2 linked regions of the Mus musculus genome follow. The protein of the gene in region 1 binds, or shares a complex with, the protein of each later gene. Links are inferred from orthologs where the notes say so. Each region holds a gene or a part of one and is shown on either strand. Other genes may lie near its edges.

Evidence for each region.
Region 2: the proteins of Crb1 (region 1) and Mpp5 are in contact, whole or in part, in a crystal structure (PDB 4UU5), measured with the Homo sapiens proteins. The link is inferred for Mus musculus from reciprocal best matches to the Homo sapiens genes CRB1 and PALS1. Residues at the interface, in NP_957705.1 of Homo sapiens: Ala1401, Met1402, Glu1403, Arg1404, Leu1405, Ile1406; in NP_071919.2 of Homo sapiens: Lys261, Pro266, Leu267, Gly268, Ala269, Thr270, Val271, Arg272, Asn273, Ser281, Arg282, Val284, Val314, Asn315, Val317, Phe318, Leu321.

The regions. Positions count from the first base shown.
Region 1 is NC_000067.6:139,366,395-139,382,699, reverse strand, and holds the start of Crb1 (protein crumbs homolog 1 precursor), read left to right. Parts: upstream 1-5,623; 5' UTR 5,624-5,789; coding exon 5,790-5,859; intron 5,860-16,305. UniProt on the Homo sapiens protein: Plays a role in photoreceptor morphogenesis in the retina. May maintain cell polarization and adhesion.
Region 2 is NC_000078.6:78,814,332-78,829,847, reverse strand, and holds part of Mpp5 (MAGUK p55 subfamily member 5), read right to left. Parts: intron 12,608-15,516; coding exon 12,530-12,607; intron 12,224-12,529; coding exon 12,077-12,223; intron 10,662-12,076; exon of another isoform or gene 10,645-10,661; coding exon 10,483-10,644; intron 9,041-10,482; coding exon 8,963-9,040; intron 5,160-8,962; coding exon 4,976-5,159; intron 3,992-4,975; coding exon 3,920-3,991; intron 3,588-3,919; coding exon 3,516-3,587; intron 196-3,515; coding exon 28-195; intron 1-27. UniProt on the Homo sapiens protein: Plays a role in tight junction biogenesis and in the establishment of cell polarity in epithelial cells.

The sequences.
Region 1 (16,305 bases):
TATGTTTTTAGGGTTGAACATCTGGCACTGAACAATCAATTGGTGAACTCTTCCCATCTCTCCCCACTTCCAGATTTACTCAGTTGCCTGTAGTTCTTTGTGTAGAGTGGAGACCTCATCGTTTTTCAATGTTCAGTTTGGTGTGTTTGATGATATCATCCTTGTTCAGCTCACATTGGGCAGACATGTTGGTGAGACTTTGCAGGGGTAGCTTTGATGGTACTAGGAAATATAAACTCAGTAAACTCCCTGGCCTTTGGCTCTCACAATTGTCTGCTCACTTCTGCAATATTCTCTCTGCCTTAGGTGTGGGCATGTTCTGTAGATGTATTGATTAGGACTTGGCTTTTCAATTCTGCATTTTGGTTGGTTTTGTTTTTCTGTAGTGGTCTCTATCCCTTGCCAAGGGATGTTTCCTTGATGAGGAGTGAAGACAGATATGTGTCTGTGGGTATAAGGTATAGTGCTGTTGGGGATTGTGTTGGTTTAGTGAATTAGTGGTTGTGGATTCTCCTCCAATAACCTTGATTTCACTAGCATTGAATACAACAAACCCTCTGGGAAACACGGAAAGCATTTTCATAAGAGGAATTTATAGTTCTAAATGATCACATTGAAAAAAAAAATCAGAAGGTACTCAAACAAATGGTTTAATGATAGAAGTCAAAGAGTTAGAAAAACAAGAAGAAACCAAACTTAAACTAAGTGTATGTCAAGACATAATAAAAATTGGAGCAGAAGTCAACAAATTAGAAACAAAGAAAACAAAAAAAATTAAAACATCTAAAAACTGGTTCTTTGAGAAGATAAAAAAGACAGACCTTTGGCTCAGCTGAGAGAGAGAGAGAGAGAGAGAGAGAGAGAGAGAGAGAGAGAGAGAGAGAGAACCTAAATTATCAGAATTAGAAATGACCAAGATAACATTATCACAGACACCAAAGAAATCAAGAGTATAACAGAATATTTGAAACCCTGAATTCCATCAAGCTGGAATATCTAAATGATCGATTTTCTAGAGGCAGCTAAAACACCATAATTAAACCAAGAAGTCAACACCCTAAACAGACCCATAACAAATGAGATTAAACTAATCTATATTAAACTAATATAGTAATGAAAGGCCTATAAAAAGCCTTCCAGAAAAAAAGTGTAAGACCAGAAGGAGTCATAGCAGTATTCTACCAGGCATTCAAAGGTCTACAGACAGTTCTTAAACTCGCCAAGAAGAAGAAGAGGAAGAGGAAAAGGAGGAGGAGGAGGAGGAGGAGGAGGAGGAGAAAGAGGTGGAGCATTCCCATACTCCTTCTATGAAGCTGCTATCACTCTTATATCCAAAACAAACAAAAACAAAAGAGGGCTGCACCCTACAGGCCTGTTCACAGATGCTACACCTCTTCATGATACTACACTGGCGATTAGGTTTCAACTAGGAATTTTAAGGGAAACATAAACATTCAGATCATGGTATATTCATATTCATATTTTGTAAAGAATTTCCTGGCTGGCCTCAAGACTGACAAGTTTTTCACTCATTTGTTTTATGGCTTAGTCCTTTAATTCTTATTTTTAAATACAACACGTATAAATTCCTAGAAGTATTCTTTATATATCACATTTCCAGATTAGTTTTAATACTTCTTGTCTTGAAAATGATACCTTCTAATTTTTGTAATTGTGACAGAACTGAAAAAACAACAGAGACTTTTGTTACCGTTAGATTCTGTCTGTGCTTCACACCACACATCTTCTTTCTAGATCAGTTGATTACTTTTCTGGTGATCCAGTCGTTAAAATTTAGTGCTCTCTGGTGTATTGGTTGGCTTTCTCTGTGTCCAGTTCCTTAGATTTCAGGTCTATGGACTAGGATAACAATGCAAGTCTGACATATAGACTTCACACAACGAGATTCTTAGAAAAGACCTAGAGACACAAAATGATGACAGTTCATTTAATAATAATTATTATTATTATAAAAATATTGTTATAGACATAGAAACCTAAAGCATAGAATGGTAACAGTTAATTTAATATTAATTATTATAATTATAATAATAAAGATAAATAATGTTGTAGACAGTAGAGAAACTTTAGGAAAATGGCTATTAGAAAATCAGAATGTAATTCTGCTTACCCTGCATCTTTTATTCCAACTGGAAAAATGTAGATATTAGAGCAAGAAATATATAATACTTCTGCAAAGCCAGGCACGGTGGTGCATCTCTGCAAACACCATTACTCAAGATGCTTCTGCAAAGGATCAGAAGTTCAAGCTTAGTCTGGACAACATAGGGAGACTCTCACCTCAAACCAACCACAGACAGCAAAAATACCTGTGTCACTTGAAATCATTTTGAATCAAGCTTTATAAATTAAATTATTTGTGACAAGTAGAAATGATCTCTTTAAAATATTGACTACCACGAGTGCTGTAGAAATCAGTATACATACACATATTATATATATTATATAATCTAATATGTATGTATGTATGTATGTATGTATGTATGTATATATTAGATGATCTTACTCTGTTGCCTAACCTAGTCTTGAATTCGTGGACTCTTGTGATCTGTCCTACTTCAGTCTCTGGTATTTTAAACTACAGATGTATGTCCTGACACAAAACTACAATTTTAAATGGATCAATTCTGCTCTAGCAAATAAAATAATCTGAGAGAGATCAGAGAATACCCTTGGTAAAAATTATTAAGCTTGGCATCAGGGGAACAGGAAGACATCCAGAGGTCTGTCAATCGCCATGCCATGCAGCTCAGGCAGGGAAAGAGTGCCCTCCACAGCCCTGTCTGCAGCCACTCCCTGTGGTGCAGGGGTGGGAAGACTTCCATAGGTCTGCCTGCTGCCACACCACATGGGCAGGCTGTAGACACCTAGAGGCCTGCTGCTTGTCACCACACCACATGGTGCTGACAGAGGAGGTCCTTGGGGCACCGGTGAGCCATTCCTGAGTGCAAAACCACAGGAGTACTAGCCCTCCCAGTTCATCTGCTGCGGGGTTGATAGAGCTGGCCCTGGGGTCATGAGAGTGGGTATGGTGGCCCTGCCCCTCGCTGGCTCAAACACTCAGGAGAGCAGACCCTCACCTGAGCAGCACAGTAAACCTAGCCCTGGGGGAGGGGGCGCCAGTGAGGCAGTGCTCGTAGCCTAGCTACACTCACTGGCACTCAGGAGAGCAGGCACTGCACCGCGCCTGTGCTACACAGTGGCGTTGGCCCCATCCAATCCTGTGTGAGCTACCCCTGAGGGTGTGAGGAAAAGAGCTGGCCCAGAAAGATCACGTTGCAGAATGGGCCCTATGACTCAAGTGGACATCATAGTGGAGCTAGCTCTGGAGGTGTGGGCAAGCATGAGAGCAAGAGAGGCTGACACTGCCTCCTGCTGATGGAGGCATTGAGTGGCCAGAGTAGTGCTGCAGAGCTCACCTTGGCGGTGCTGATCAGGGAAAGCCAGAGGCTGGCCGCCTCAGCTACCACCCTGGCCCAAATCCAGGGCTTTGTGCTGACCCACTCTGAAATCTACATCATCTGTAAATGGTTGAGGAGTGTGCGGGGGCGGGGGGGGGGTGCTGTCTTGCAGATCCAAAGCTGCAGGATCTCCATGACACAGGGCAGCAAGAGGATAACTGGAAGGAGTCCAAGTGAGGATCCAGTATTGATGGTTTGACAGAAGCCTGAGACCTCGAACAATGCCAATGACTCATTGCAATGAGCATTTGCAAGTGAAGACATGTGGACAGAGAGATACACTGTAGGACACACTATGACCCACTACAGCTTCCATGATAAGGTATTTTCTATCCTTTGTTTTGCTCTCTCTCTCTCTCTCTCTCTCTCCCTCTCTCTCTCTCTCTCTCTCTCTCTCTCTGTGTGTGTGTGTGTGTGTGTGTGTGTGTTTATTTTGGGGTTAAGACTACAGTTGTGGAGGGCAGATATAAGGAGATGGGGAGTTTGAGCAGTATAATGCATTTTTTAATGCCCATTTTAGTTTCTGAATAATAGACATAGACCTGGTATTTTTACTAACAAGCTGCAAACCTAAGCTGGGCAGGCTCTGAGCTATTCTAACCCTTTAAGCCATTTACCTCCCTGTCACAGGCCCCATGTTACTTGCAGTTTGAGTCTCTTCCTGGCTTGCTCTGTTCATATGAACCCTCACAGCTGCTCTCTCACGTCGATCTCATGACAAATCCTTTGGCGACCTGCTCATCATGGCTCCTCCTCGACCTTTTCTCGTGGCCACTTTTTCTCCTTTCTCATTGCCCTTCTCCTCTCTCTACCTGGGACACACACACACACACACACACACACACACACACATCAGAAGTCCCACCCTATTCTCTTCTGCCCAGTAAATTGGCTGGCCAGCTCTTTATTGACCAATCAGAAGATGATGGAGACGGGTGATGCTTCATAAAAATAATACCGAAGTCCAAGTCTGTCCTGTCCTCAACTCTCTCCCTGGTATAAAAACCAGCATTTGAATAATACAACCTTTACACAGTACACAGAAAGATCATCCCTACATTGCAGGACTAAGGTTTATGATGTGAAAAGAATCATAAAAACGTTTTAAAAAAATGAGCAATGCAATTAAAAAAAAAAACGCAGAACTGAAATGTCTCACCTTCTGCTAGTTCAGGTTCCATGCAAAAATTGTTTTGTACTACATGTTAATTGGGTTTTTATAACCCAACCAATGAGCATAATTCTCAGACCCTGTGGAATATGAAATTCTGAATGCATATTTGCCATTTTGTAATATATATTATATATACATATACATTATATATACACACATATATTATATGTACACATATACATTATATATGTATATATATATATATATATATATATATATATACAGAGAGAGAGAGAGAGGGAGAGAGAGATTATGGTCTTTCATATGTAAGCAGAAAATATAAAACCTTCAAAAATAGATGCTGCAGCATCATTAAACATCTAACTGAACTCTGAAGATTTACACAGAATCAGTTGTTTTAAGCGACAGAGCCAACACTTGTTATATAAAAAGCATAGACATGTACTAGCATAAATACCAATCAAAAAATTCAGCATTCCATTTTTAGTTAAGGGATTTCTTTTGCCCTATTAATTTGCATAAGTTAATGATGTTAAAAGGTTAATAAATCCAAGAGGATGTAACTTCATGAGCAAAGTGTAAACACTTGAAAGAAATATTACCCCCATGTCTCTATAATTCTAGCCACTGTTATATGATAGCTTATTTTTTCTTATAATTTTTCTACCCTATCAACAGCAAAAGCACTACTGAACTGTCATTGTAGGGTTTAGAAACAGAAAAAGTTACTAACCTGTAAACAGAGTTTTGAAAGAGAATGTAATTTACAAAAATATAGAGTGTTTCTTTAAAAGTAGCCACATCAGAATAATCACGTGCCAATACTGTCAGAAGAAATTAATTTCTCTATTAGGAGCAATCAAGGACCCTATCCTAAAACAAAGCCTTTCCAGGAGGCATTGTTCACGGAAGCCTGAGGGGGACACGAATCCAATCCAGGCTGGAAAAATCTGCTCCAGGATTGACTGGTTACCGTCTTCCTGTGCCTGTAAGGTGCTGTGAAAGAGAAGTGCTTTCTGATTCTCTGTCTGTGGAGGAGCCCTGGGAGGGGTGGGACAGAGATGGCATCCTGGCTCTCTGAGGCACCTGCTCTTCTCTGAACCACACAGGAGTCAAGAGCCAAACAGGGATAGCTTCAGCAGCACTTCAGAGGGTGTTCTCTAAGTAAGAACATGAAGCTCAAGAGAACTGCCTACCTTCTCTTCCTGTACCTCAGCTCCTCACTGCTCATCTGCATAAAGAGTAAGCCCTCCCCAGTTAGCAATGCCCTGCCTCTCTTCCTGGCTTAGTAGATAGATCTCTTGCATACAGTTCCAAGGAAGGATGTGTTTGTTTCTTATAGGTGTTAGTAAGTGCTCTTGTGGTTAAGATAGCGCTTCTGGTCCAGGTTTTAGGAATTACAGTAAATAGGTTCTCAGGCTGTTTTATCTGTTGACTGAAAAGCATAAAACTGAATGAAATAGCCAGGAGGAAACAGATTTTTTTCTTCATTCTTTTTTCTTTTTTGTATTTGCACACTTGTGAAATAGTTTGTGGCACTTTATAGTTGATCTTTGTTAAAGAGATGTTACTAATAAGTTATCTTGGCTCTTATTCTCATATGCTATGAATTTGTTTCCATATGTTAATAATTCTTGCATTGCAACACTTGTTCTTGTAATCAGAGGGGCGGTCTCAAGGCTTCCTAAAGGAGAATGGTTAAAACTGTACTTTTTCCCAGCACTAGAGAAATAACCATATAGTTGTGTGCTTCTGTCTGATAAACAAAGGCATCATTTTTACAAACTTCCCCAAATATAAACAGGAGTGACGACGCCTCCCACCCCCACCCCTGATAATCTTGTTATGTTTGTGGCAGTCTCAAGAATCAGGGAGAATGGCCCCAGCTGTGTGTTTATGAAGGACCATAGCTATTGTACTCATTTAAAAAGAAGACAAGGAGAGTGTGTGCCTGTCAGAGGGGCCATGTGATTTACGGCTGTTGCATCTGAATATCAATACGGACAAAATAAGGAGCAGCTGTCTTTGTGTGAGACCACTAGCACCAATACAGTGGTGGGTAATCTGGGTAGTGTTCTGTCACTGCAACAGTGCTATGAGGTTCTAACTGGTACGGTTTACAGCTGGACAAACAGCCGAGATTAGGTGAAGATACAAACAGGTCCTCTTGCTAGGCAGCTGGGACAGCCAGAAAAGCCCAATCAAACTTCAAATAAATACTAAAACGCTCATCATAAAGCACATGGAGGGAAAAAATTTTCAGAGATGTATTGGATAAAGAGTTATAATTTTAAAGTTGCTTATCCTCTTTCAAACTTATAATGGGTGGGTTCCAAGTAACATGCAGTGGGTGAGAGGTACCTTACCTTGAGATACACAGTGGGAGGATACACACAGAAGGGGGACATAAAGTGAAAAATGATGCCATTTTCTTTGTGGCAAAGAACTTTGTCACTTTGTGAAATACTCATTAAATTGTCTACAGTGTTCTTTAGAGCTCATATATGTAACTTCTCAAACATGTAACTGTGTAAAAGAGAACATGCATAGGAGCATACACTCGCTTTGTTTCATTTACTTTACCAGTAGACTCTAAACACATATTTGTAACTACTTCATTTATTCTTCAGCAAACCTTGTTTGTTTGTTTGTTTGTTTGTTTAAAGTAGTAAATTTGAAACTTCATTTTATTGAGCTTTTAAGCAGACAGGGAGCCTTTTATCTGTGTTATATTTGTTGCCAGGGAGTAACAGTGTTGCCTTTGTAGTCAGAACATTTAGTTTACACTATTTGGGGCAGTAGAGTTTCAGTCAGTGACTTGGGTCTGCTTGGATCCAAACACACTATATAGGTCAGGCTAGCCTCTTACTTGTGACCTCTAGCCTCAGCTTCCTCAGTGCTGCAATTACAGGTACGCCCCACCATGCACCCAGTAAATTACATTTAACATTAATTACCTTTTTGTGTGATACCAGAGATCAAATCTAAGCGTCCCATAAGTGCTAAGCAGGTGCTCTTCTACTAAATTCCTTCCTCGTCTCTTTCAAGTTTTTAATTTTGAACAGGGTTTTACTAAGTTCCAAAATGGCCTTAAACTCACTTTGTAGTGAAGTTGGGCCTTGAACATCTTTCTGCTGAAGGTCTGTCTCTAGAGTCTGTATTCTCAACCGATATGTACTATTCCCATGTGGTAACAGTATACAATCAGCTCAGAACACCACAAGCACATAGGAAAACTTGGTGATTAGTATCTTACTACTTGAAATCTAGTATCATATTAGTTTTTATTCACATTTTGAAATTTATTCTTTGAAATGTAAGAAAAAAGGAGCTATTACTGGCTCCAGATAAATCACTTCTGTAGAGTTGTACCTTGACTCCTTGTCAGACAGATGCTGTTCATTCTTAGCACCCTACTCTCTTCCCGTCTTAGAGTTAAGATTACACAACATGAGGAATATTAAAGCAGACCTCCACGTGGGACACCCACTTCCTGCTCCTCAGTTGGTAGGTAGGCAGCCATTTCCCTGAGCTGGGACTTCAAGAACCTGTTCACTTAATTGTTCTTATATCTGTACCAGAATCTTGCCAAGTTTATTCAGACATATAGGATCAGGTGTACTTTAATAATTCGAGTAGGGCCTTCTCATTTTGCTTCTGACATATTAAGCGAGAATCTTATTGGTGTGAGACTCTCCTGTGGCCCATTATTTTGTAGCTATATTAAATAATAGGAGCCCATTCTAATAACTGTTGCGACCTTGATACTAGCTTGCTATTTGGGGCTTTTAAGAAGCTACCATATTAAAGCAGCCTTCAATTACATAGCAATTTGTGTCTCCTTTTCATTATTCTGTTATAACTTCAGAGAAAAATGGAATCTTCTCTATGCAGCAGTCATGTCTAGATTAATGTGACTTATTTTAATTTATATTCAGAGCATGACCAGTGCATATGACAGGAATGTAATTTGAGAAAACCATTATTAGGATTATGGGCACAACATAAAAGAAGCCCAAGGAGCATACTGTGGAAGCTAGCAATCATTAAGTAACTGAATTTGAATAAAGTCCTCATAAAGAGTGTTTCCTAAAGGATAAATAGGGTCTACGAAGATAGGACATGGTCTGATTTATTCAACCTTAGCGCTATTATTAAGAAATAATTGAATTTTCTCAAAAGATCGGAGAGGCCTGATGTAATTTACTATGGAATAGCCACTTATGCTTTAAAATTCTACACTTGCAGGAAGATTTAGAATTTTGATAAGTTGGATGCTCATAAAGCAGTGTGTGTCACGGTGCTTACAATAATGCCTGTGGGAGAGGAGCTGTTGCTTCTTCATACCTAAGTAATTTTCTCCTCAATTTATAGTAAGTTTTACTTTGTACAAGCCACCCATTACTTCCCACAACAATGCAGAATTCATTTTAATTTCTCTTTTCGTACACTCATCATAAGCAGACCAGATTTTTCTTGCTTTCTTCATCGTTAGTGATTTTCAATGATGGCCATTTATGATCATATAGTTCCAAAGTTGGCTGTTGAGTGGGCAAGGCCAGCAAGGATGTTTCACTCTCTTTTCAGTTTTCTTGCTGATTCTTAGGAAGTTTCCAAGACAGTCAGTTTTGTTCTTTCAGCAAAAAGATGTCCCTTTTTTTACACCACTGCTCCATCACGCTAGATTTAGCTTTACTGTTGCTGCTTACATTGCTCTTAACTGTTTTGTTCTATGTCACATACTAAACTGCAAACTCAGTGCATTTTTTTGATGTATTTATGCTTTCCTATGAGGCTGTTGGTTGGCGGTAGGAGTCATGAGTGTTTTGTTCATGGTTATTGGACATGGAGCTAAGGTTGCTTGTTCTTTGCGTCCAGATGGGTTAGTTGCTAGATTACGAAACTTCATTAATCACTTCTTAGTCTACTGATTTACATGTTAAATAGTTAAGGTCAAGTAGTTGAGACCAAACATCTCTTTTGAAATGTATTGAATAAAAGACCCTCTATCTCTAAAGTTGTGAAATTTATATTTTCTTCACTAGGATAGACAACAAAAACTAGCTAGTAGCAGTACCCAATTAAATATTAATATTGATCCCAGCCATGGCAGCAGTGTGTTTCTTGATACTTGCCCCAATGTTCTGGGTTCCCGAATATTCTCTCTCTCTCTCTCTCTCTCTCTCTCTCTCTATATATATATATATACACACACACACACACACATATATACATATATATATATATATATAGTATATATATATACACATATATATATATATATAGTTGTGCTTTAAACAGCTCAATGGCTAGGCCATTTTCTAATCTCTATGTGGCTAATCCACCTCTCTTCAACATTCTCTAATTATTACATACTAAAATCTATATTCCATCTTTGCTGCCCTGGACCCAATTGGGCAGCCCTCTTGGTGCCACTCTTCTCTGGCTCCTACATGGTGGCTATGCTCTCTGTCCTGCACCTTCTTAGGTGTGAAATTTTCCTTTCCTTCTGGTATGATGGATCTCCTTCTTCCTTCCTCCCTAGCCTGGAAATCCCCAAATTCCCACCTCTGTCTGTCCTGCTCAGCCATTGACTGCTGGCAAGTTTATTTACCAATCAGGAACAACTAGGGGCAACGCTCAATGTCTTACATACGGACATGCAGATTCTTAAGCAAACAATTTTAGGGACCCAAATTAACATAATACAAGCAGCATTAGACCAAACCCACTACACTAACTAAATAAGGAAAATATGTACTTATGAGCTAGTGGTACATCTCAGTGGAGAAAAACAAAGAACGAGATAAAGAAGAGAACTATGGGATTTATAATGAATAACATTTTTTTCCTGTAGAATATATCTAATGCAGAAGTCCTGAGGCAGGAGCATGCCTATAGACTTTGAGAGATTGCTGCATGTTCTGTTCAATTTGAGTGGACTGATGGAAAGAGAGGATACTAGTGTAGGTACCAGTGGTGTTACTTATAGTATCTTCAAGTTTAAAAAGCCCTACATAGTAGCCATTATTAAACTCACTAGTAAACTTTACTAGTATACTAGTAAAGCAAGATAGATTAAAGGATATACTCAAAACACAGCTATAAGGTGACTCAAACGAGATTTTCAATCTTTGATCTATCTAGATCTAAGAAACATGCAAGCTCTCAAAAGCCAAAACATAAATGATCAGGACTTGTGCAGGCTGATATGTGCAGCCTGACACTGTTAGCAAGAAATCAGCTAGTATGGAGATAACTACAAATATCATCTTCGCAGGATTTGGGAGAGTTTGTTTAAAGAAAAACTGGGTCCCAGATAATCAGGTATCTATTTCATCTTTCTGCTACTCTGAGTTTAAAAAAACATTCACAAATGTAACTGACGCCTCAGCCCTGTGAGTGAAATCTGCAAAACTGGAGCTGCTGGTGTGTGGCCTCCGCTGACCTTGTTATCATCGTCTTTTTGGTTCTTCACATTGTCGTAGTAATTTCCAGATGAGTGACTCTTTTCTCTGGATTCAAAATCATCGAAATTTTTACATAACTTCATTCAGACAAATTGGAAAGAGCAGGATGCTAATGAGGCCGAGTTTATGATTGATTCTATCAGTACAGTTCACATTGCTTTGAACAGAGACCAGCTCCAGACAAGCAAATGTGTATAAACAAATTAAGCACTGCCACTTGTAAAAGCAGCTGGGGATAGTACCAGTAACCTTTTCATGCAGATAATTTGTTAATTTGATTTTACATATGGCTATACTTTCAGCTAACTCTTTCCTGTTATGATAGTTGATTTTAATTCTGTACTTTCTCCTAAAGTAATCATGAGATAATTAAAGAATTAATCTTATAAACCTAATAATTGTAGACATAAAATATTTTCTAGCCTTACTTGTTGAGGTTTGGACTGTTGCTTTATATTGTAATGCTAAATACTGGCTCTCCAAAATCTGGTTGCCCCCAGGAAGAAGATTCTCATATAAACCAAGTGATGCTATATAACCTTGCTCCTTCATGTTTAATGGTTGGTTGAGTAAAGATACCTACAGCCTATAGCTGGACAGAAAAGAGGTAGGCAGAGCTTCAGTTCCCCAGGCTGGGTGTCTGAGGCAGAGACCATGAGGAAGAAAGAGAGGCGAGTGTAAGGAGAAAGGAGAAGACACTATGGGGCAAGGGATTGTGAGAACAGGCCATGAAGGCTGGCCAGTTGGAGGAAGAGTAGCCCAGGCAGAACATGGAAAATCATATCTTGGGGTTATTAATAGGGAGATGACTCTGAAAGCATCATTGCTAAGGCCATTACAGCCGTCCTTGTGAGGCCATTACCACCATCCTTGTGAAGCCATTACAGCCATCCTGGTGATGGGTGCCAGTGAAGGCCTGGAAGTCTGAAACACCCACCAGGAAGAAGCAAGCACTCCGCATGCTCCCAGCTGGCACTGCTAATGGCAAGGATCTCTTTTTTTCTTAAATATGAATAGTTTTCACACAGCCATTATTCATGCCGTCAGAATTTGCGAGTGTCAATTTAAATGCCATATAAGCTTTCTAAACGGTGGTAGATTGAACTATTTAAAACTTTGGTTCCACTCCTCCATTGTTGGTGGGAGTGCAGGCTTGTACAACCACTCTGGAAATCAGTCTGGCGGTTCCTCAGAAAACTGGACATAGTACTACCGGAGGATCCAGCAATACCTCTCCTGGGCATATATCCAGAAGATGCCCCAACTGGTAAGAAGGACACATGCTCCACTATGTTCATAGCAGCCTTATTTATAATAGCCAGAAGCTGGAAAGAACCTAGATGCCCCTCAACAGAGGAATGGATACAGAAAATGTGGTACATCTACACAATGGAGTACTACTCAGCTATTAAAAAGAATGAATTTATGAAATTCCTAGCCAAATGGATGGACCTGGAGGGCATCATCCTGAGTGAGGTAACACATTCACAAAGAAACTCACACAATATGTACTCACTGATAAGTGGATATTAGCCCCAAACCTAGGATACCCAAGATATAAGATATAATTTGCTAAACACATGAAACTCAAGAAGAATGAAGACTGAAGTGTGGACACTATGCCCCTCCTTAGATTTGGGAACAAAACACCCATGGAAGGAGTTACAGAGACAAAGTTTGGAGCTGAGATGAAAGGATGGACCATGTAGAGACTGCCATATCCAGGGATCCACCCCATAATCAGCATCCAAACGCTGACACCATTGCATACACTAGCAAGATTTTATTGAAAGGACCCAGATGTAGCTGTCTCTTGTGAGACTATGCCGGGGCCTAGCAAACACAGAAGTGGATGCTCACAGTCAGCTAATGGATGGATCACAGGGCTCCCAATGGAGGAGCTAGAGAAAGTAGCCAAGGAGCTAAAGGGATCTGCAACCCTATAGGTGGAACAACATTATGAACTAACCAGTACCCCGGAGCTCTTGACTCTAGCTGCATATATATCAAAAGATGGCCTAGTCGGCCATCACTGGAAAGAGAGGCCCATTGGACTTGCAAACTTTATATGCCCCAGTACAGGGGAACACCAGGGCCAAAAAGGGGGAGTGGGTGGGCAGGGGAGTGGGGGTGGGTGGATATGGGGGACTTTTGGTATAGCATTGGAAATGTAAATGAGTTAAATACCTAATAAAAAATGGGAAAAAAAAAGATTTTCAAGATAAAAAAAAAAAAAACAAAAAAAAAAACTTTGGTTCCCTTGAACCCAGTTCCCTGGTATCAATAAGTATGAGGAGTCGATACCAGACTTCTGGCTTTAAGAAGGGAAGCATTTACATGAACATAATAAGCAACTGAAATCATTCAACTGACAGGAGGGATTCAGTGGAAAAGTCGTGAGTCAATTTTGTGACTAGGTTCCACCTGTAGGTAGCAATCCATTGCTCAAGTTAAAGTATTAAAGATTATGTGTCACGTATTCGTCACCAGCAGCCTGTGTTATGAGTAAACTTTCAAATTCCATGATGCTTTATACACTTAATGGAAAATTTCATATGTGACTTGCGGTAGAACTCCAAAGCTTTAGGAATAAATGGTTTTCACCACCCAGATATCGTAAAAAATTCTAATTCTCAAATCCATTTATTATTTATTCTGATGGGCAATGGTGTGTGCTAGAACTGGACTGCAGATTTTCTCAGCTAGAATTCATCTCACAGGTGGCTGCCGTTCCACAGCTGTTTTTTTTCCCATTAGCTTGTCTTTAAAATCAAGCTGAGTGCCTGTTATGTAATGTCCCTATGAAACGTTTTGTTATTAGTTATGCAAAATTAGTGGATTTATTTATGAACAATCAAAAATTTCCCTTTTAAATAAATATGTTTTTGACTGCTATGATATATACTTGTATATATCTCTCTAATTTTACCTATTACAGTCAAAACTCTTGGAACCTCTCTAGTTTGACATTTCACAGGTCACATGGTTTTAGGTAAAATCCTAGTTGCTTGCTTCAGTCTCTCTTGGAGCTCACTTTAGAATATTTGAGCTCCTACTCTCTCTCTCTCTCTTTTGTTGACTTAACTTGCTTATATGTTCTCTAATTTTTCAGCAATTTAGTGTGTTCCTTAATTTATTAGCTGAGGTTTGAAGTTTAGTGGCTACATGTTTCCTTTATAACTGATGCTTGCCTTTGAAATCATACCTCTATCTGGGGGATAGTGTTTGCTGCGCCGGTGGATCTCATTGAGTTCTCTAGTACCCATGTGAAAGTGGACATGGATGTAACCCTAAAAAGGAAAAGGCAGAGGAAGCAGGACCCTCAGGGTTTATCACCCAGCTCTTCTAGCCAATAACTCTAGGCAGAGTGAGAGAGCCTGCCTCAAAAAGCAAGGTGAAGATACCTAACTTAGTCCTCTATACTTTGTATGCACACAACATGGTACACACACAGGCACCACATCTTATACACACACATACACACAAATCACAAAACAAAATAAGCTTATTTATCTTTGTGCACTACCATATACCTGAATTATAATTTACATTTGTTTAAAAATGAAAATTTTCATTTTACACAGTTTATATTTTACATGTACTAAATATCTTATAACGATGTGTTTACATATCACTCAGCTATGCTTATAAAATATAGATATTATATATGCTTTCTTGTCATATTTACTTTTCTCACTACATAAAAATAGTATTTGCCAGTCCAGTATCTCAAGGGTTAGCCATTTAGTCTTTTGTATATTGATTACACAAATTGACCTCAATTTTTTCTTAGTGTAAAATTTTGAAATATATTTTATGTTGTGGTCATGAAAATTATCCTACAAGTATTTTTAAGTGCATTTGGCTCAGAATTAGGTTTTATACTCCTTCCTGGTATGGTGTGCCTCCTCCTGCCCCCGTCTTGTGTGTGTGTGTGTGTGTGTGTGTGTGTGTTAGAGAGAGGGGCGTCTCAGTTTGTACAGACACAACAAATGGGTGCAGAGTTCTGGTGATATTATTTCTTAGGAATCACATGTGTAAAACCCAGGTGACCATTCACTGGATCCTTGTTCTTTTATGTCTGCTAATGGAAACACTTACTTTCTTCCAAGACGCTCCCTTTAAGTCCTTCTAGCTACTCTTCATGCAGATTACTGGGCAATCTTCTAGTGAGCAAATGAATTTGCCCTCCTTCTCTCTGCTGTCAGGACACCAGGCTAATACACACGGACCTCGTGTTCATGTCAGCCCTTCTCTGTGTTACTTGCTAACCTGCTTTTCTTCACTTACATTTTCCAACGATTTTTTGTTTTATTCATGACTTTGTTTTAAGAGGATTTTATTTTTTATTGGATATTTTCTTTATTTACCTTTCAAATGTTATCCCCTTTCCCAGTTTCCCTCCCTCTCAGAAACCCCCTATCCCATCCTCCCTCCCCCTGCTTCTATGAGGGTGTTTCTCCATTCACCCACCCACTCCCACCTTCCCGCTCTTGATTCCCCTACACTGGGGCATCTATCTAACCTTCATAGGACCAAGGACCTCTCCTCCCATTGATGCCTAACAGGGCCATCCTCTGCTACATATGCAGCTGTACTCCTTGGTTGATGGCTTAGTCCCTGGGAGCTCTGGGGGATCTGGTGGGTTGATATTGTTGTTCTTCCTATGGGGTGGCAACTTGCTTCAACTCCTTCAGTCCTTTCTCTAACTCTTTGATTGGAGACCCTGTGCTCAGTGCAGTGGTTGGCTGTGAGCATCCACCTCTGTATTTGTAAGGCTCTGGCAGAACCTCTCAGGTGACAGCTGTATCAGGCTCCTGTCAGCAAGCACTTCTTGGCATCTACAATAGTGTTTGGGCTTAGGAACTGTATATGGGATGAATCCCCACGTGGGAAAGTCTCTGGATGACCTTTCCTCCAGTCTCTGCTCTATAGTTTATCTCCATATTTGCATCTGTAAGTATTTTGTTTTCCACACGTTGGTCTTCCTTCTTCTTGAGCCTCATGTGGTCTGTGAATTGTATCTTTAGAATTTGGAGCTTTTGGGCTAATATCCACTTATTAGTGAGTGCAGATAATGTGTGTTCTTTTGTGATTGGGTTACCACATTCAGGATGATGTTTTCTAGTTTGATCCATTTGCCTAAGAATGTCATGAATTCATCATTTTTAGTAACTGAGTAGTACTCCATTGTGTAAATATACTACATTTTCTGTAT
Region 2 (15,516 bases), on another chromosome or scaffold:
GGAAAATGGGAGTGTATCCAAACTTACGAGGAACGGCAGATGCAAAGCGGTCTTTTTCCTTATTCATTAGTCTCTGGCGCAGTTCATTCTGGCCACAGTTCTGTGGACCGATCAAGATGATAGGTCTTTTCCTATTTGCTGGCTGGTGATAAAGTGACATTTCCTCATACGTTAAGATCTCTTCATTGTCATAATCTTTGGAAAAAGAAAGAGTTAAGACTTTCAGATACAATTAATGTCATGTCATGAAGATGTACTTTTACATAAAATAGTGAAGTTTTGCTGGTATTGTGTATTTTTGAGGTAGGAGCTTGCTCTGTAGCCAGGCCAGCCTCTAACTTGTAGTGATCCTCCTGTCTCAGCTCCCAAGTACTGGGATTACAGGTATTTAAGCCATTATGCCTAATTTAAAAATAATTAGTTTGCAGAGAATACTGTAACACAGGAGACTGCCAGAGACTTCATTTTCATAAAGACCCCAGCTAAAAGAGTTATTTTTAGGATCAGATATAATGGAAAGCAAGTATGGATGTGCACACAGTGGTTACAAGTAGTATACGTGAGCATGCTAGAGCGCTTGGCTGGATTTCCGTAACTTAAAAATAAGTCACACTTGTGATATCCACCCTTTAATCCAAGGAGTAGAGTAACAAAAGTAACTAAAGCCCAAGATACAGATGAAGCCAAAGCCATCCAATCTGAGCAAGCGCAAGCAATTGGTAGTCTGGCATGTCCTAGGAAGAGGCACCAGTCAGTTCCATGACGGAGGGTAACCTTTTAGTCTTGCTAGTGCCCAGCCTAGAGTAGGAGCTCAGGCTGTATTTGTTTACATTTTAACTCAACTGTTCGATTACCTATAACAATTTAAGCAGATACTTGAATATCTATTTTGAATCTATTAGTCTGCAACTTCAAGAAAATTACTGTGAGGTGAGAGCACACATTGCCATGGGGCACAGCTGGTACTTTAAGCAACATAGACAATTGCTTCCTTTCTCAAAGTCACGTTCTTTCTTCTGAGCGTTTTCAAACATGCACGGTCACACTGGTAGCATTCTGATTTCCTCACTTACTCATCCCATTCAGCTCTGGCAAGTATTCTACAGTATAGGAGCTTTCAGAGTTGGCTTCATCAATTTGAGTTTGTTTCAAGAAATGAAGCAAGAGGTGCTAGGTTGTGGCTCAGTAGTGCAACACTTGCCTCTCATGCATGAAGCCCTGGATTCATTTCTCAGCACACAGAGAGATTGGGAGTGGAGACAGAAAGAAAACAAGGAAAACAGGGCTCATCTCCAGACTTAGTTCTGCATTGTACTAGCAAATAACGATATTAATCACAGCTTTAGCTAGTAAGATTAAAAACTAACTGATCTTGTACCCAAGGAGCTAAAGGGATCTTCAACCCTATAGGTGGAACAACATTATGAACTAACCAGTACCCCTGAGCTCTTGACTCTAGCTGCATATGTATCAAAAGATGGCCTAGTCGGCCATCACTGGAAAGAGAGGCCCATTGGACACGCAGACTTTGTGTGCCCCGGTACAGGGGAACGCCAGGGCCAAAGGGGGGGAGTGGGTGGGTAGGGGAGTGGGGGTGGGTGGGTAAGGGGGACTTTTGGTATAGCATTGGAAATGTAAATGAGCTAAATACCTAATAAAAAAAAAAAAAAAAGAAAAAAAAAAAAAAACAAAAAAAAAACTAACTGATCTTCTTAGTTACATAACATGCCAGGCATAAAGAATGCTTGCCTTAGAAAGCAATTATTAAAGCTGATTCAATTTAGATTCAATAGTGTATAGAATATCTAGTATACATATGGAGCTACATAGAAAAACCCCATCTTAAAAAACAAACAAAAAGAATATCTAGTAATAAAATTTTCTTTATTAGTTTAATTTATGCTGCATATAAATGCAGAGAGAATATCTTGTCTATTTTATGAATGCATCACCTGTTACTTAAAAAGCCTGTGGCTTAGGCAGGAAGGTCAGGACATCCAGGAGGCAGAGAGAATTCTGGGAAAGTGCCAGGTATAGGAGATTCACTCAGGAAGATGTGACAAGACAGATATGTGCTACCTAAGCACAGGTAACTAGCCATGTGGCAGAATGGAGATTAGAATAAATGGGTTATTTTAAATCATGACCTAGTCAAAGAAGAGCCTAGTTATATGGCCAAGATATTGGTAAATATATTTTGAGTCTGAGTTTTATTTCTGGGAGCATGAGGAAGAACCAGGACTAATTTTTACACATAAATGCTTCACATTCCTAAGAAATATGCCTTGCAGACTTTTAAACAGTAGTACTTCTGACTTTAACCTGACCTTTCTAATGTGTACCAAAGCAGAGCTAAGAAATTCAAATGCAATGAAGATCAATCAAGAAGGTAATGCACCCAGAAAATATGACTGAATTTAAAAAGCGGTAAGTGGTGCTGATACCCAACTAGATTGTAAGTGAATCAATCAGGGCAACAGCTGTCAGCCAGGTGCAGCACACTGCTGTCCCAAGAACATAAGCCCAGAGATGTTAAGACTTTAAAACTTTTTAATCTTAGCAATCTGTCAATATAAAATAAATATTCCTGTGTGCCTGTCTCAGCCAGTAAATAATATGTTTTGTAGAATGACCTGCTTCTCTGACTTAAGATACTATATTTACAAATTATTCATTTTACCTCAAACACATTTGTGTGTGTGTAAAAATTGTTAGCTGAAATACCCAACAGCAGGGAGACAGAACCTGAAGGAACCTCCAGTAGTTGGATGGGGCCACCTACCCATTAAAAATTTAACCCAGAATTGTCCCTGTCTAAAGGAAATGCAGGAACAAAAATGGAGCAGAGGCTGAAGAAAAGGCCATCCAGAGACGGCCCAATGTACAATCCATTCCATTTGCAGACACCAAATCCTGACACTACTGCTGATACCAAGATGTGCTTGCAGACAGGAGCCTGGTATGGCTGTCCTCTAAGCGGCTCTGCCAGCAACTAAGACTGATGCAGATACAGCCACCCAATGGACTGAGCCCAGGGACCCCAATGAAAGAGTATAGGGGAAGGGCTGAAGGAGCTGAAGGGGATGGCAACCACATAAGAAGAACAACAGTATCAACTACCCAGGCCCCTCAGAGCTCCCAGGGACTAAACTACCCACCAAAGAGGATACATGGACTGGTCCATGGCTCCTGCTACATATGTAGCAGAGGACTGCCTCATCAGGCATCAGTGGGCGGGGAGGCACTTGGCTTGATGCCCCAGAGAAGGGGATGAGGCTGGAATGGGAGCGCCCTCTTAGAGGCAAAGGGGAGGGAGGTGAAGTGGGGTAAGGTTGTGGAAGGGAGACTGGGAAGAGGGATAACATTTGAAATGTAAACAAATAAAATGATTAATAAAAAAAAATTGTTAGAGGCAAGTAATAATTTTGCAAACAACTTGAATAGAAAAAAACTTTACAGGAAACAATATTACAAATGTCATAAATACAACTGCTATTTGTGAGATTAGAACTTACCATCATTTTTATTGGCATTATATAAAACCTTTTTCCTCTTCTTTTTATTCTTCTTTGCACACCACAGTTTTCCTATTGATCAATCAAAAATAGTTATAAACACTATATCTATTACTAAAACAATGGTATTTCAAATTGATTAAAGATTTATTATACTGTTGACAACTATTTTTTCAATTTATCATTTTCTATTAATTATATTGTAGATAGATGTGTAATATTTTCATCTTTTCTTACATCTAAAGATAATGAATTTAGCCTCTTCTATTACTCCTTCAAGGCCTATACCTTTCTTTCTTGACAGTTCCAATGTGTAAATTCAACATGGTTCCAGATGAAAACCCAAAGACTCTTGCTTTTACTAATACCAAATGTAAGTGCAATAGCAAATATAAGTGTCTAACCTGATTTCTCTGGCTCCTTATCTTCTTCTATAGTTTGCTTCATGGCTTCCCTTTGCTGCTGAAAGCTTTTGCCTAATAACACAAAAAGAACAAACAGAAGGATAAACATTTTTAATCAAAGAGAAAACACTAGTAATTTCACACTGCCTTCCAAACCCTTTTGCCAACACAAGAATAATCCAGGCTAAGACACATAGCCTACAAATGCCCCCTTTAAAGAGAAGGTTTATTTTTAATTATGTGTATGTCTGTGTGGGCTGAGTGCAACATGGATACTGAGAATCAAACTTGGGTTCTTTCAGAAAGGAATATCAAGTCTCAATCAGTGAGTCATCTTTCTAGTCTAAGACTGAAAAGGTTTGTTTTGACCCTGCTTATCAATCTAATCATATGTATTATTTATCACTTATTACAAAAAGGTGAACAATAAACTAATATCAGAAAATTTAATAGTTCACCCTTAAAAACTTTTTCAATGAGCATTACTATATGGTACTTTGTAGTTCCACGCTGGGACATATAATGGTTCTCGTCACTGAGACTATCTCAACTCAAACACATCAATTCTAGACATTAACTTTCAAGAAGTACACAGGCATTCATCATGTTCTGATTTCAACACACCATTCAAAATACTTATTTGTATTTATTATTCATAAATGTATCATAATGATTTATTTCATTTCTACCTTTGTTACCAATGACACAAATAAACAGACAACACATTTTTCCTCAAAGTATTAAGATTTTTTTTGTTCTGGTTTGCTTTGTTCGTTTGTTCGCTGCCATGTGGGTACTGGGAATTGAACCTGGATCCTCTGGGAGAACAGCGAGTGCTCTTAACCACTGAGCCATCTCTCTAGTCCCTAATGCATTACGATTTTAACATAAAAGGTTTTTAACATGATCAACCTTCATCTTCTCAGTTCTCTATCTTAAAATAATCTAGGGGAGGAGATGCAACAGATTTTGATTCCAGGCCTCTGCAGTTAAGTGCATGTTCTACCACTGGGCTGGGCCCTCAGTCCTTTAAATGCTTTCAATCTTGTCTCTTACCTGGAACAAGTCCAGCTAGAGGCTGATTATCTTCGTCTCCCTCTCTATAGGCCTGCCACCAATTTGGATCTTCTTGACTGATCACATGAAGTATATCTCCTTTTTGAAAAGACAGCCCTAACTCTCGACATGGAACATAAGGGTCATCTGAGGGGTCATAGTCAAAATGAGCTTTCACATGGATCTGAAACATAAAGGGGGTACAAATAAGAGCAAGAATAATAAAATGGTAAAGCAAAATATCCAGCACAAATGTAACTTATGTGTTACATCAGTGCAGAGAAATGAGCTGAAAGGACATTTAGTTAAGCAACAGCATGTTAGGGTAGGATTTTTTAAAACTTATCTATTGACATCTCTGTAGACTATAAAGAAGTAGAAGTAGTTCAAACTGGGTGATTGTTAACAGCTAACAAATTGAGGTACAAAGTTGCCTCAAAGGCAAAGTAACCAGAATAGAAGCGGTCTGACCTGTGAAAACAATGATCCTAAGTGAGGTGTCACCAGGTCCCATGTAAGCAAGTGTCAGCTTCCCTGGGGCTGTCATAGCCAGTTGATTTCATGACCAGTGTAGTTGTGCCTTAATTGCTTAGTGTTTCTTTTAAAAATGCATGTAAATAGCATGTTCCACACTGAGAAATGATCTAAATCAGGATGATCACTGGGGAAAAATTCTTACCTTACTTGATCCAAAACTATGCAATATATTTATAGGAAAAATATGAAGGAATTGGGTGTTTCTAGAAATGAGGAAAATGTTTATGTTGGGTGTGGGGTCGACTACAAGGTGGACAGAGGCTAAAGGGGGCATAGGTGGGAATTTTAGATGCTAGTCTCATTCTGGTTCTTTGGGTGGTGTTTACAAATATGGTAAAGATATTGTTCTATTTGAAAGTAGGGTTCTATTTACCTAACTAAGATAACTATTTATCTACTTATGGAACCTTCTATTCTTGATGTGAAAATAGACTTTAGATTAAAATCTTGAATACTCAGTACCAAAATGAATTTTAAAAAGTAGTGTGGGATAGCAGGGAATCAAAACATAGTTGGAATGGTGCTTAAAAAGAACACACATACAAATTATCAACTCAGTATAAGAGAAACAGTATGAGCTAGAACTGCTTTAGAAACTGGGTGAAAATTACTTCCAAAATCTATTTAAATTGTTACCTTTTTGTATGTGTGTGTCCCCAAACCCTGGGAACCAAAAAAGTAAAAATTTAGGCCTTACTACAAGTAGTGGAAATTACTTTAACAGGCTTTGTAGGTCTACCTAACTGGGTGATTTGTCAGGCTGATTTTATTAACTCATTGTCTGAAAGCAATACCCAACAATGTTATGCAAAGTATATTGCTGGAGTGCCCGCTACAGATACTTCTTAAAAGGCTGAATTCTTATTCTTGTTTTTGAGACAGGGTTTCACTTTGTAGCCCTGGCTGTCCTGGAACATCCTATGTAGACCAGGCTGGCTCCAGATTTCAAAGATCTGCCTGCTTCCCTTCCCAAATGCTGGGATTAGAGGTATGTACCACCACCAAAAGACTGAAATAAAGAAAATATCCAATAAGAAAAAAAGAATGAAAATGTACAGAAAATAAAGGTTTAGAGGCTAGAGACTGAAAAAAAAGGCTGAACCCTTACCACCACCTCAGACTTGTGGCCTCTGCACTGACAGACAGTTAGTTGGGTGTTAGATAGAAAGGTCTTGTGATCTACTGTCCTCTATTACACCAAGGGAACTCAAAAAACAAGTGAGGGATGAACATAGCTCTATGATCTCTTCCAAAGGCAAGAAAATCGCTCAAAGATGCTTTTCAAGTTACTCTGGCCTACCCAGTTCATTTTCCAGCTCTCCTAATTTAAATGGCTGGCAACATGGAGGATTGTTTCATGTAGCAGAGGACATACTATGTTTATAGGGCAAGCACACATAGACACACCTGAAATGTATTACACACAGCTGAGCCTTTTATTTCGTAGTAACTTAAGGTAGAAGCCCAACGGCCTCCACAGGACAGGCTACTTCTTTTTAGTTTTTCCGCCCTACTAACCCAGGCTGCCCTCTAACTCAGTGACTGTCCATCTCAGCTTCTCAAGTGCTGGGATTAGTTATGAGCCACAGTCCTACACAGTTGTTTCACTCTTACGTTTATAAAAAAACCCAAACAAGTGTCAGGCATGGATATGCACACCTTTAATGGCAACACTTGTGAGACTGAGGTCTACAGAGCGGGTTCCAGGATGGTCAATACTACCCTGTCCCCAAAATCCAAAGCTAACCAACAGCTGTGATGAATGGATGATTTCAGGACTCTGATTTTGCATTTGCTGAAAACAAGTGACAACATACCACATTAACTGAGAAGCAGCAGTATCAATATAGCATGCTAGTTTTATCTATTAAAGTAACTTTAACAGGCCACCAAGATACCTCAGTGGGTACAGGGCTTGCTGCCAAACCTGACGACCCAATTTTGATTTCTGAGACCCACAAGGTGGAAGGAGAGAACTGACTCCCTGATGACCATGTAGATGCTGTACTGCATATGCACACCTTAAAAAAATAAATGTGTAACTGTAAAAGAAATAACTTTTATTATAACTGCATGAACAGCAGAAAAGAAAAGCTGATAAAATATACCTCAACCTCTGACACTCATTCTCAAAAGACAAAAATCATTTACTGAGGAAGGATGGGTTATCAGGAGCATTTAGAAGACAGCATGTTCTAACCCTCTTCAGTGTGCAGAGCCTCTTTTCACACTTGAGCCTTATTTACAGGACAGACACATGGAAAGGCATAGCAAGTACAGAGAAATGACTAAATTCAGAGGCCAAGTCTGTTTCCTCATGTTTCTTCCTACAAAGAATTCTAAACATAAAAAAGGTTGCACACGCAACACCGACCGCAGTATGTTCTGGAAAAAAACAAAACAAAACAGAAAACAGAAAGAGCTAAATAAAACAACACACCTGTGGTGACTATGAGCAAAGCAGAATGCTATACATGTATGAAAATGTATGATACATGTATGAAAATGTTATGATAAAACCATGATTTGATATGATAACTAAACAAAAATAATGATAAAAAATAACAAATATATAAAGATCAGGCTTCTATGTCAATTTAGGAACTTAAAACCTCATTTTTAATTGCTTATGATGTAGTTAATATGCTACACCATTTATGGTTTTAGTATATGCAGAGACAGAGGCTTACCATTGATATTGTTAGAATATTTTCAACCTTCTGGACCAAATACTGATAAGGAGCTATTTCCATTCTTTCCCAAATCTCCATCTAAGGAGCCACTGAAATTTTTCTGTTTCTATGGGCTTACCTATTTTGGATACTGTATGTAAATAAACCAGTAAAGGGCTTGTGATTGCCATAAATTTTTCAAGCTTATCTATTTTGTAGCATATACTCACACCTCAGCCCTTTTCAATCAAGTAAGATTTCAGTGTACAGACAGATAAACTATGTTGTATTTTCAAGTTATTGCTGGTGGCTGTTGCTATTTTTAAGTTGTTTTTATATTTTGGGTCTTATAAATAATACATGCCTGAATATTCATGTACGATTGTTCTATTACCAGGAATTGCTAGGTTGTACAGTAATCAAATCTATCATTTAATAGAGCTGTGTTAAATACTTAGTAGATAGAAATACACCAGAGTAATGACTTACACACATTTGTTAAAGTACCCTTCTCTATGTGACTGAGCAAAACTTAATTATACCTGAAGACAAACAACACTGTTAGTCTGAAGTTGAACTATGTTGTATATTTTACTTTTAAAAAGTTCAGAGTTTACTACATTTTAAAAGTTGATTTTTATACTTATTTAAATACAATTACGTGATTTCTGTTTTTACTTGAACAAACTATATTCAGTGAAGTTTCTGATACAGAAAATTAGACATAAGTCAAAGAAGAATAAACAATTTTAAAATAAGTAATTTTAAAATTACTTACTACAGTTTCTTTGGCAGGAGGGGGCTTGATCTGTTGACTAGGAATCAGAACAAATGTCAAAGTACCATGCATATCAGACTGTAACAGAAAGGTTAAAATACTTTAAAAATCTCCCATGATCTTATGATTAACACACTTTAAACAGGATGATGGCAGAATTCCCTCAGTCCTATACGAAAACATTTCCCATCCCTAGCTACTTTCATTATTTAGTCTTCCTGTCCACTGTTTACTGTATTGAGTTGTGCAGCTAGATTCATAATTCCTGCCCAGTACAGCACTAGCTGTATTCAGACATATCCAGACTAGACAGCATTCTTCATAATGTTTATACAAAATACAAACAGTGCACAGTGCAAGCCAGTACCAATCAAATGGACCATGAGTGACCATCAATGGCACTTTGCTCTACAGAGCTATGTATGAGCAGAGATTTGGTGGAAAGAGGGACATGGATATTTTCTAGCTTTTACAATAGATATCAGCAGGTAGGAGACATACTACTGTATCACCTCATGTTGAATGATTAAGAATATGCACATGGGTTTGTAGAGGGGAGTACTGGCTGGTGCCATGGGAGGAGAATCACCAAAAAGGTCAGTCTGGGCTATATAATGTGTTTTATTTCAGACCTTGCCTTCAAAAAGGAAAAAGAAAAATCATATGTTGTGTTGTATACAATATGATTAAACATCATTTTCAAGACAATGAGGCTAAGCATGGTGGCACATGCTTTTAATTCCAGCACTTAGGAGACATGGACAGGTATATCTCTGAATTTCAGACCAGCCTAGTCTACATAGTGAGTTCCTGGCTAGCTAGGACTTCATAATGAGACCTCAAAACAAACAATCAAAAAACAACAAAAGACTGTTCATCAGTTAAGAGCACTTGTGGCCCTTGCAGAGGATCTCGGTTTGATTCCCAGCACCCATATTTTGGCTCACAACCATATGTAGCTCCAGCTTTAAGGAATCCAATGTCTTTTCCCGACTTTCTCAGATACCAGTCATGTATGTGGAACATATTCATGCAGGTAAAACACTCATAAGGCATAAAGTAAGTAAATCTTAGAAAATTATTTTTAAGAAGGTAATTAAAAGTGAGTACCAAAGTATACCAGCACTGTCCAGGATAATTTACTCAACAGAGATGTGTAGTGGCTATCTCAGACAACAGCCATTAACTACATAATCAATCTTGTTCAACTATAGCTAGTGTGAATAAGAAACTGAGTTTTAATTTAATTCACCAGGAATGTACAAGGTGTACAGAAATACATAGAAACAAATCTTTAAAAAAATAGTAAAAGTAAAAATAAAAGTTATAATAAAACTCAAAGTAAATAAAAATAAACCTAAAACTAAATATATAATAACAAAAATTGACAAATTCTGTAAAAGTTAGGCTAAAAACTACCTTATACTCATTAGTTATTTTAAAAAATGTTCTCTAATGATCTAAGTTTAATAACAAAACAAGCTTTTAAATGAATCAAATCTTCTACAGTCTGAACGTACCAACAAGTCAAAAACCTCATTGACATCCTTGCCCCGGATTTCAATGCCGTTGATCTCCAGAACTTCGTCTCCTTCGTGCAGGAGGCCACTCTTCTCTGCGGCGCCTCCTTTCACTATCCGGCTTATGATGACAGAATCCATTTCATTACGAACTGTGGCACCCTAAAAACACCCAATATCTAATTTAAACATAAAAATGCAATTTTTTGTTAAGCATTTCATTTTTAAATTTTATTCTTTTAAATCTAGTAAGACTAGTCCTTAGTTTAGCTTATCTTAAGAAAAAAAGATTTCCTCACATTGCTAAAGTAACAACTGTAATTGTAACACGAAAGCTAAGTATTCCCCACCCAACATTTCTGTCTCAGAGATACTGTATTCATTAGAATTCTGAAGTACAGACTTCTGAAGCATATAAAAGCAGAAAAAAAATACACTGTGTTTAAAGACATAAAATCAACTTTTTTTCTGCTGCATTCTATTCCAACACCTAGAAAACATCTAGGCATAATTAACACAGTGCTTAACTATAAAGAATTTCTTAAAATTCAAAATATAATTAAGGGATAAATAGCTATATGGCTAACTATACAAATGTTAAACACAGCTATAGCCAAATGTATTAAATACTAATATTTATTATACAAATTGAAAGAACAGTGGGAAAGTGTATACTCAAAAGCTAGAACAGTAAAATAAGATAAAACCTATTTTGTGGGGCTCAGTGGTTACAGCAGTTCCTACAAGGGACACAGATTTTTGTTCCTAGCACCCACACTGGACAGCTTACAAACCCCTGTAACTCAAGCCAGGGGATCCAACTCCCTTTCATCCTCTGCAGGCACCTGCATGCATGTGGCACATATAAATACACTCAGACACATACTCATAATGAATAAACAAATCTTTTTTATAAAACTAATTTTCTTAAGTATTTACTTTAATATTATCATGACCTTTCCTTTTATTCTCCAAGATGGAACCAGTTACATAAAGTACTTAATGCACTCTTTTTAAAAATTATTTTTATTACTCTATTACTCTGTGTGTGTGTGTGTGTGACCGCGTATGTGTGTGCTGGAAGTCTTCAATCTCTTTCCATCTCATATTTGGAGCAAAGTCACTTAACCTGGAACTGACTGATCTGGCTAGGCTGGTGGCTAGCCTGCAAACTCCAGAGAAGTCTTCCTGTCAGTGACAGAGCTGGGATTACAGAAATGTCATCATTCCTGGCTTTTCACATAGGTGCTGGGGTACAACCTCTTGATCCTCATGTTTGGGTGCCAAGAACGTTTCAATTAAACTATGTATCTAGCTCCCAAAGACCAGATTTTCTAACTTGTTTTCTCTTCTTGATTCTCAGTAAGTATTTCATAAGTTATTATTTTAAGTTATGAGAAAAGGTAATGAAATTAGTTTTTCAACCTAATAAGGGTTTTGAGCAAGAGCATATTACAATTGTAACAAATTGCTGTAACAATTGTAACAACTCACAAAGAGAAAACTCTCCAGGAACATAATGGGATCTTCAACTGTACACCATATGAGGTCTTTGCATAGAAAACAATCTTAGATCAGACATGAGAACACTTACCAATGGAATATCCCGAGCCTTTTCTATACGAACTATTTTTACAGTTTCTCCCCCGTAATGGCCGATACTTTCATAAACTCTCTCATCTGTAATGGGCTCTAGCTGCATTTCCTGCTCAGCAACCTTATCATGGGCCAGTAAAAGTGCCTGTTTCAAAGAAACCCACCGTATGAAAAGTAAGACCACAATTTATTTCTGTATAGTTTGCTCATGCACATAGTATTACAATCAAGTCTGTAAGGGCCTAAAACATGACAAATATGTAAGGGACTTTTGCCCAGTTTTTAAAAATAAGCTATTTTAAAACATACTTTGTATAGTTTTACATATGGAATGTATAACCCAGCAATAATTACTCTGCTTTCTGCATGACTAGGTCTCTTCCAAGACTAAGAGACTATGATTTAAAAAAAACAAATACTGGAAACAAACAACATTCTGTCCTTTTTCTACCTGAATATGTGGAGCATTCAACAAGGCAGTTAGTTCTTGTCCTTCCTTCTGATGGACTGGCTTTAAGACAGTTTGTACCTAAAGAAATAAAAAAAAATTTTTTTTCCTGGTTCATAAGAATTAGCAGTAGTATCTATACAGGAGAATATTTTTAAATGAGAATAAAATGGCAAAAAACCCTCAAGAGTAAAGAAAAACACTAAAGAAACATGAAGAAAAAAAATCCTTTCCCAGAGATCTTTAAAAAGAACATTCCTTTTTTTTTTTTAAAGCATACTTCAAATATCATGGTATTTACAACTACAAATGAACTGTTTCACTTTTGAAATTTCCTTCTAACACAGTATAAAATCTACTATAATAATTACATGACAGGATATATGCCCCACTCAGTAGTTATTATGCTACTTTAGAGATTTAAATCCTATGTTTCAAATACTATTAAAAATCTGAGATGAAAATTTAAAGTTATAGATTTACAAGATAAATGTAATGTTGGACAATGTGTTCTCAGGATAAACTCCCACAGTTATGATACATTTTTCAGGCCCCTGTGTCTTTCTTTCCTCATGGGCAGGCTGGTGTCCACTGTGTAAAGCCCTTCAAAGGCTGACCAGATGACTTCAATCTGAGTCTGCACTTGTGATCTTTCCTAACACTGCTGGATGGCTTAACTAATGTACTATAGGTATTGTCTACTTTAAAAGATTAATGTCATATTATCTACTCTTTCCATTAAGAAATTTAAGTACTCTTTCCTGTTTCCTTGCTTTTAACTACATGAACAAAAAATTAAGTCCACTTATTTGCAATTTTCAATCTTCTACCAATGAATACTGAGGTAGACATGTTCCTCTGCACACAATCTTCTACCAATGAATATTGAGGTAGATATGTTCCTCTGCACACTACTTTCTCCCAAAGATTATACTGTGTACTCTTACTGTTTATGCCTCTTTTTGCCCTTGTGCCTCCAAACCCCCACTCCAAAATGGTACACTGCAATAAAGTAAATAACAAAACAAAAATTGTCAAATTAATGAAAATATAAGTGTACCAATGATTAAAACAGGAATTCTATATTCTTTATGGTTATTTTATTAGCAGTTCTCCAATTAAACCTTTAGGATGATAAAATGAGGACCAATTTTGACCAAAACAAGCATACCAAATCAATGATAAAGTCTGAAGAGATGGGTCCATAGTTCAGAGCTCTTGCTGTTCTTATAAAAAGATTGAAGTTTGATTCCCAGAGCCCATAGCAGACAGATTACAACCTCCTGTAACTCCAAATCTAGTGGAGCTGATGCCTTCTGGTTCCTGTAAGTGCATGCATGCACATGTGCATGTGCACACACACACGCGCGCACACACACACACGCACGTACACACAAACATACACAAACATAAAATAAAATAAAAAAAACCCAACCTACTAGGACAGTGCTTGGTGCCTTTAATCCCCTCATTCCATAGGCAAGAGCATCTCTGTGAGTTCCAGATAAGACAGGGCTAACCATTAAAACACTGTCTAATAAACAAAACATAGTACTGAAACTACTCTGTCCTCCAGTTTTGGTACCTAAAAACTTTAGGTAAGTGAAAGCTGATTTTAAAGACACTGCTTTCCTTTTGAAACTTCATGAAAACTACTCAAAGTTAATTTGAAATCTATAATCCCTGACCAAATACTTTTTGACTGCTGGAGAAAGCAACTCGGAGAGGGACAGTTTTGAATTATTAAAAAAAAAAAAAAAGAAATCAAGACTTTATAAAAGCTACAATTGGGAGGGGGGATAAAATATGGAGTGTAAAAAAAATAAAAAAGGCTACAATCAACTCAGTAATATTTTATGTAAGACACTTTTTTTCTGTTTATATTTTTAAGTCAGTTCCTAGGCATCTCTAAAATCTTAAAAAAAAAAAGCAGAACTCTGATAAATACTCATTTCTGTAGCAGCAGGCATAGACATTATCTATGCTAGTGTCCGAGAACTTCACTTACAAAGCCAAGGGAATTTAAAGACTGTTCTTATATGTGACCTGCCTCCTCCCACTGCCCAATGAAAACAGACTTGACCACCCATTTCATTAAAAACAGAGAAATGGCCAATGACCACACAAAAATAGTGTCAGCAATCATGATGGAAAGGCAAATTAAAACAAGACACCACCACACCACATATCTGAGAGTCAGTAGCCAAAAAGCTGACAAGATGGTTCAGTAGGTAAAGGCACTTGCCAACAGCCTGAAAACAACCCCTGTTCATTTCCCAGAATCCACATGGTTGAAGAAGGGAACTGACTCTTCAAAGTTTTCTTCTGACCTACATCCTCACACCACAGCATGCACATACTCACATGCACACACTCACACTATGCAATAAACAAGTGTAAGAACAATTAAAAATGGATCAGTAATAGCAAACAGCCAATGTCTCACGATAGAAATGACACGACACATTGTCACACAGTCTACTACTCAGAAAGCATCACTGGGACTGGGACCTGGAGGACTGGTCACATGCCCATCATTTGTGAAGTGTTGCTTTAATTTGATACATTCACAGAAGAAATGAACCTTAAGATTAGACTGAGCAGAGGAAATCAGATGCTGCCATGGTTTGAATGTGAAGTGTCCCCATAGGCTTATGTTGGAACATCTGATCCTCCAGGTGGTGCTGTTAGTTTTGTGAGGCCTAACTGGAGGAAGTGGGCTGCTGATGGCTTATGTGTGTGCATATGCCATGGGTTATAACTTCCAGCATCTCTATGTTTCCTAATTGCCAAGGCAATGTAGCCTGCTGCCCTACATTCCTTCTGCCACAGTGAGCTGTCCCAATGCCATGCCTTCACAGCCAGAATAAGCTATGTCTTCCCCCAATCTGTGAGCCCAAACAAATCATCCCCATTCAAGTTGCTTCTTATCAGGTATTTTGCCACACTGACAAGAAAAATAATTAATGCAGACACAAAAGAGCAGATGT